Linked DNA regions of Nothobranchius furzeri. The protein of the gene in region 1 purifies or fractionates together with the protein of each later gene. This does not show direct contact. Links are inferred from orthologs where the notes say so. Each region holds a gene or a part of one and is shown on either strand. Other genes may lie near its edges.

Evidence for each region. Proteins that work in one complex are often made in the same cells at the same time.
Region 2: the proteins of cluap1 (region 1) and ift27 purify together in Homo sapiens (affinity purification with mass spectrometry; 3 studies listed by BioGRID and IntAct, with this or other methods). This does not show direct contact. The link is inferred for Nothobranchius furzeri from reciprocal best matches to the Homo sapiens genes CLUAP1 and IFT27.

The regions. Positions count from the first base shown.
Region 1 is NC_091748.1:64,772,045-64,775,285, forward strand, and holds part of cluap1 (clusterin-associated protein 1 homolog), read right to left. Parts: intron 784-3,241; coding exon 642-783; intron 407-641; coding exon 334-406; intron 253-333; coding exon 142-252; intron 1-141. UniProt on the Homo sapiens protein: Required for cilia biogenesis. Appears to function within the multiple intraflagellar transport complex B (IFT-B). Key regulator of hedgehog signaling.
Region 2 is NC_091746.1:76,148,434-76,152,481, forward strand, and holds the start of ift27 (intraflagellar transport protein 27 homolog), read right to left. Parts: upstream 2,801-4,048; 5' UTR 2,671-2,800; coding exon 2,637-2,670; intron 2,228-2,636; coding exon 2,148-2,227; intron 1-2,147. Other genes in the region: synaptogyrin-1, read left to right, coding at 3,670-3,771. UniProt on the Homo sapiens protein: Small GTPase-like component of the intraflagellar transport (IFT) complex B that promotes the exit of the BBSome complex from cilia via its interaction with ARL6. Not involved in entry of the BBSome complex into cilium. Prevents aggregation of GTP-free ARL6.

The DNA of each region.
Region 1 (3,241 bases):
ATATACATCTTTGCAGCCTGATCCATCTTGGGTGAGAAGGTCAGCTTCAGTCCCTCCACACTGTTTACACTCTTAGATTATGATGGCTTAAGTAAAAGCCAGATATGTCAGGCTTACCACAGTCATAGCCTGTTTGCGTACCTGCCATGAGTCCATTTCTGATGAGTCGTGGCTTAGAGGGTCGAGATTCTTCAAGGTCGCTGTCTGACCCTTCGTCCTCTAGAACATCCAAGTCAGAGTCCTCATCTTTCACTGCCAGAGACAAAAGACAAGAGTTTTGGGACTGGACAAATGGGTTTGAGTAAGCATTTAGTGTGTGTTTGATTTTCTCACAGGATCCTCTCATCAGATCTCTCTCCTTCTCCCTCAGTTTGTGCTGCACTATCCTCAGATTGTTTTCAGCTTCCTGCACAACACACAAGTAAAAAAACATTATTACCACAGGACTTTCAATTGACCATCTCTTATAATCTCATCGTGATTTATGAAAGAATCTGATTTTATGGAGACAGGTTGTGCAGACATAGTTGTAGTTTGTTACTGATATTTTCCATAGATACACTAGGGAGTGAATACAAGAAAGGTTTAGACAATTCCAGAACAACAATATGTTCCTAGTTGTGTTTGTTTATTTCACGCACCTCAAATCGTTCCTGTTCCAGTCTGTAAAATTCATCCAGCTGAGATTCCAAGAAGTTGAGGTTCCTAAACTTTTCCACATAAATCTCATACTGTTTCTGCAGATCTTCTTCTATCTTCTCATATTCATCCATGTATGCTGGCCTAAGGGATTAGGATGAGAAAATCAAAAGCATGTCTAGTAAGATTATGTTTAAAGGTCAACTTTACTCATATTTTGAATGCATTTTAGTGGTCCTTAGTGGAAAAAGTTAGTAATTCTCTGGGGAAAAAGAGCTCCGGTGCACCTGTTTGAAGACAGAATTCAGCTGGAACAGAAAGTAGCTTGAGACGGCAGGATTTAGAGTCTTATTTCCTGATATTATGACATCTTGTCTCTGATTGGCTAACAGCATCACGACTCTACCACAGACTCCATTTGATTTGCAATGTAGATATTTTATCTCCACAAATAACACATGCTTGGATAAGTTCTGCTGTGTGGTGGAGTTGCTAATGCTAACGGTTAGCTTCTACTAGTCGAGACATTCTCTGCTGCTTCGTGGATGCTAAACCAACAACAGCCTTCCCTGTCATAAGCATTGACATGTAAAAGTATGGATGTAGCCAGCCCATTGTTCCGTGGGAGGCAGGTTGAAGCCATAAATGGGAGGTTCCCACCACTGATTTTTTGACTGTGTTTGTCAGGCTTTTCAAATCCTAGAGTTTCGCCGTAGGGCTGCAACAACGAATCGATAAATTCGATGAAAATCGATTACTAAAAGCGTTGGCAACGAATTGCGTCATCGATTCGTTGTGTTGCGCAACTCTTCCAAAAGCCCCCTCCCCTCCCGCCCGCCGTTGCGCGCAGACCGGTGGAGAGCCGGCAGGTGTTTGTAAGAGGAACATGGCAGAAGCAGCGAGACTCCAAAAAAGTAAAAACTTCTAAAGTTTGGGAGCATTTTCAGTTAAATCAGGCGAAGACATTCAACGTTTGTAGGTCAGACAGCATGGCACGGGGATACTACGGTGATGATGCAGCGTCTTAAACGCAAGCATGTCAGAATCATCAGCGAGGAAGGAGAGAGCTCGGTGTCCGGGTAAGTTAAAAACTTTTCAAAAGTGATTCATCCAAGCCCCGGATTATTACACAGGCTAGACATGCCCTAAGCTCGTAAAAAAAAAGTCCATAAAATTGTAATTAAAGAGCAAGTCACCCCCAAATAAACTTTTTTTTGCTGATAAACTAAATAAACGAGTGTCTAATCGTGCTGCAGACACGTGTCGTCAATAATTTGGCACTTCAGTGCATCTTAGTTCAAATTTAAATATTCTGCCTAAAACTGGCAGTGTTGTGCCGTTGTCAGGTAAAAACTCTGCACTGTATTTTAATTTAAATCTGCCACCGCTATTGGCTAAGAAGTATGATATGATGTAAACTGGTACATTATGATGTCACAATGCTGTCGTGAGCCGGAGTGTGTGTGTATTTGTTAGCGGCTCCGCCCTCTCGGTCTGCCAGGCAACAGCATGTGTTGCATTTTTCAAACATAAAGCAGGAGTGGAGTTAGACTCTGGTAGGGGTTGACTTGCTCTTTAAGCTGTTTAACTTGGACCAAGCATTTTAGGTCACAGATAGGTGTAGCTTAGGGTCTCTGTCTATACACCTTATAAGACAATTTAGGTGATGGCATGTTGTTTTTCTGCTATTGAACTGTTTTCTAATAATGCTGTGTTTAATAAAGTGAAGGAAGGAGAAAAATAACGTTTCCCTAGCAGTTTTTAAAAATGTCCCTATGTAATCCGATTAATCGATTAATCGTGTCGAGACCCCATCCGATTAATCGATTATCCAAATAATCGTTTGTTGCAGCCCTATTTCACCGTCTTATTTTCTATCAGACGCTAACGCAGGAGACAGCTGTAGGAGACTATTTTCATGTTCAGCCTACTGGAAAAACTGAGTGGCCGATTATATTCAGGAATAATTTTAAAAAAAATTCAGCGTTCCACACACGTAAGTGAAACTGGTTTGGAGTAAATAACTTCATAAACATGTTTTTGACATGTGTAGACCATTTATTTAAGAACAAAAGTTATAATATGTCATATTTATGAACAGAAAGGTATAGTTAATCTAAAATCTGGCTCCAAATAACTATTTATGAGATATGTTGACGTGAGACTATTACATGATGTTTCCCTAAATGTCAGCTGTTCTCAGAAATCTTGGATTTAGTTTAAAATGTGTCAAAAAAAAGCAACATTAATTTTAAAGGGACTAACCATTTCTGAGAAAAATAAAAATGAAAATCTTGGTAGCACTGTTTAACCCTCCCACTGTCTTTATGGGTCACCGCGCGAGGAAAGTTGACTATTGAGCAGGATTGATAGTGTATCCCTTGAGGTCACACCCATTATGACAGTGGGAGGGTTAAACAGTTTCCTCCAAAGAGATCAGAAATTCAGAAGCTAATGGAGGAGATGGGGTAGAAGACTATCAGCCTGCATGAAAAACTCTGATCTGAGTGATTGATTATAATCAGAAATAACAATTAAAAAAAATATTTTTCTGTGAAATGAACCTTTAAAAAGTTGGTTGAAACATCTAAATGTGAAAACT
Region 2 (4,048 bases), on another chromosome or scaffold:
TTAGTCAAACTAGCCTATGGTTCCTGTGCTAATTGTAGCTGTGAATCAGCAGCTCAGCAGATTGGCTTGATAACATGAAACAACACCAGCCACTGCAAAATGGTTTAGTCAATTTAACAATGTCCCAGCTGAGCAGACTGATTTGGGTTGGAATCTTACTCATTAATATTTATTACATTCAGCCAACTTGACTCTGACTGGCTAAAGCCGGGCGGACACTGTGCGACTGTTTCACTCGTAGCGTTCAGCTTCAGCTCAAACTGTACGACTTCCTCGAAGAGCAAATCTCACGAGTCATGTGCTCACACTGTACGACCCAGTTCTCGGATGTGACTCGAGTGCTCACACCGTACGTCTGGTAGCAACACGTCGTACCTATAAGCATCCTAAAAATAACAGTTTTTACACAACACGCCAGACTTTTTTTGTGTTGCTATTGATGTCTGTTGTCCTTCGGGAGCGCTGTAGGAGGAGGACACACAGGGATTTATGGGGTTGGATGAGGAAGACTAAAGAAAGAAAGTAAATCAATGTTTTAGCAGTTCAATTTGACATAAATATGATTTCTTCGACAATATTCGTCATTGTGTGCGAAAAAAAGTGCATCAATACAAACAGAATTGCTATTGCTAATGGATAGTTTCTATTAGCCGGTACACACTCTGCGGTCTTATGGCTGCTTTATCAACACAGCCGACTGCGGTCACAAGCCAAGGTTGATAAGTCCTTAAATGCTAATTTTGCAGTGTGACTTAGATCTGTGTGGCTTGTTCTGACCCAAGCACTGACGTCTGTTTTTTTTCAGTGACTAATGTAGAAAATAGGGACTGGAGACTATTTTTACGTTCAGCATGCATTTATTCAACTCAGTGTGACCAACCGTATTTGATGAAAAACAACTTACATACTTTTCTCAGTGAAACCTAACGGGAGATTAGGCCGTTTAAGCGTGCTTTTAGCACTCTCTAGTGTCCGTTTGTAGAACCGAAAGCAAAACCTATCTCCTCACTGTGGGTCCATCCAAAAACAAACACCTTAATCTGAAAGCTGAAACATCTCCCCAGCCTTCCTTAGTGTCTACAAAAGAGGTTCATCACTAAATTAATAAGCTCAGCTGTGTTCATGATCTAAAACATGCAGGAAATGTGCTTTTCCTGCACAAATTGTATTTATTTATTTGGTTATACTTTTCCTTTTGTATTAACTTTTTCACAACATCACAAACAAACAGGTACAGTATTGAGAAACTGTGTTGTTTGGGGCTCTGTGTGTTTGCTTGTTAAGTAGCTGTTCTAGTGACTTTCCAGAATCCTGCTGTATTAATTATCGACACCCCTGTCACCTCGGAACCCTGATACTGCTGAGGCAGCAAGACCAGAGCAAACACACACACACACACACACACACACACACACACACACACACACACACACACACACACACACACACACACACACACACATGGCTATAATCCGGTATTTTTCTGTTCAGTACTTTAATGACTCACAGGGCTTAGTGGTAAAGTGAAGCATGCAAAATACGTAACTATAATTCAAGTCACCAGTACCTGCATTTGCAGTGTATGTGTGCGCATTTAACCTAAATCCCTTTGAACATTGGCTGAAAGAAACGATGAACAGCAGTGACATCCATTCATGACAGAGTTAGGTTAATGACACGACTCATTCTCACATGAAGATAGGCATAAATAATGCAGATTACTTTTCCACATCAGTGTTAGTTGGTACATCATGCTGTTTTGCACTTCAGTAAGTCCTAGTACAAAAGATCCAAACAAGTTGTAAAAAGCTTGTAAGGTTTCTCTGAAAATGTGAGGGTTTCCGATTCTTTGAAAATTGTGCTAGCTTTTATCTTAAGCAATGATTTAATAACAAGGAATGAATGCTGCTGTGTTTCATAACACACAAATCACATTATTTCTGATATTTTAAACTAGTGACTTAATTGAATCGACATGAATAAAACAAGTGATAGGGGAAAAGAAAAATGCAATTTCTAAATTCATCACAAAAACTGCAGAAATACTTTCAAGTAAATAAACATCATGTTACTATTTTTACTAAATAGCTGCTTTAGATTAGACAGCAGTGTTTGAGCATCAATATTTTAAAAACAGATCATCTCACCATGTTATAGTTCTTCTGAAAGAGAGATCCACCGCTGTAGAATATATGGGACAGAGAACTTTTCCCCACGGCTGCATCTCCTGCATGAACAGGAATAAAAACAGTAGAAAACAGAAGTTTATGATCTTTTTGCATCTGCAGTTTCCTCATTTAAAAAAAAACATCAAGGAAGAACTCGTTTAAATAAATGAAAACTTGCTCATTATATTTATTTAAGCGCTGTAGTTTATATTATCAATATATTTATGCTTCATCTTGAAGATAAACAAGATTTGTTGTGATGTGTCTGGTGTTGCATTGTTGAACGCTAATGAGAAATACTGAATCTGGTAAATTATTCCCTAAAAGGCTCGTATATAAATGGAGGTTAGCTAAGTATCAAAGACTAGAGAGTGTTTTGTTATTTTACATTTGAAGCTAACCGATAGCTTAAATCTCGACTGGTTAGCGTTAGCCTAGCAAACGTTAGCCAAACATAGGAAACCTTACCGACAAGCAGACACCTTGCCCTCAATTTCCCCATTGCAGCGCAAGCCTTCGTGACGCGATGAGTAAAATATGCACTTAATTCAATAATCTGGATAATATTGACTTTTACTGCTAATCTTCTAAATACTGTTCAACGCAGCAACTCGGACACAAATCGTTTCCTAGCAACCATCTAAAGTAGCGTCTTATTGGTGTACGCAGTGTATACGTAACGCTTTCATTGGCTGTTTGATATGTTGGAGAACTTCGCCCCCGAGCAAGATCTGTCAGGCATGGCTCATTCGATCCGACGGAGATAAGTAAATAGGACATTTTAAATGTTTTTCTTAACACTAATCATGACACATACTTGTAAATACTGAAAAACTGCATGTATGTAAAAACGTAATATAAATAAAATTTCAAGCGTTATGAGATATAACCGCTAGAGGGTACAAAACATACGTTTCAGAATAAAGTATTTGGAAGCGTTTTCAATGCAAAAACTCAGATTTTCTTCTTTATTTAACTGGGTCGTAATTGTTTTAAAAAATTTAATTTTCTGATTTTTTTTCTTCCTAACAGGGACGCGCTTTGATTAAATCAATTTAAGGCACGTGACTACCTCTGTGCGACACCGTGAGCACAGGCGCGTGCGCCATGCGTATTGGATGTTTTTATCGAGGATGCGCTCCCAAAGATAAAACACGCACTGTCCGAGCGGAAGCGCGTTCTCGTGGTTGCCACGGGCTCTAGGAGCTTACAGAAGGGGAGAAACGTCATCAAAACACCACCGCGCACCTCCGTGCAGAGGGACACAGAGGTTAAATTTACTACAAGCAAGAAAAAAGGGGAGAGGTGGCGCGTCAGGGAGCCTGGGTGCAGAGTCACTGAGACAGCGGTCAGAGTGGTAGGACCAGAGATTTGTGCGTCTTTCGGTTATCCGGTGCTCTACATACCCTCACACACACGCGCACACACACTGTGCCTTTGAAGCTGAAGCGGGGAAGGAGAAGGGGATCTCAGAGGCGGCCGCCCAGAGAGGAGGAGGACAATGGAGGGGATGCAGGCATACGGAGCGGGGAAAGCTGGAGGAGCCTTCGACCCTGTCACCTTCCTCCAGCAGCCTCAGACCATTCTCCGCATAGTGTCTTGGGTAAGAAACCACTCAAAGCAACAACACAGATAAATAAACCAGCTAGAGTTGTCGAATCGCTTTCTGTGGATTAAACAGGCCTGTGTCAAAGTCTGGAAATCACTTCATGTTTTTGTTGATCCAGAAACTGCTATTACTGTGTATCACACGTTATAGATAGATATTCTTATTTGTTTCTGTGAGCTGAGCTGATGTTGATGCAGTCACCACGTGAGGCCCGTTTGATCGTAAACAACCTTAACGTTTAAATGAACAGATAAGGAATTAGACCGAAAAT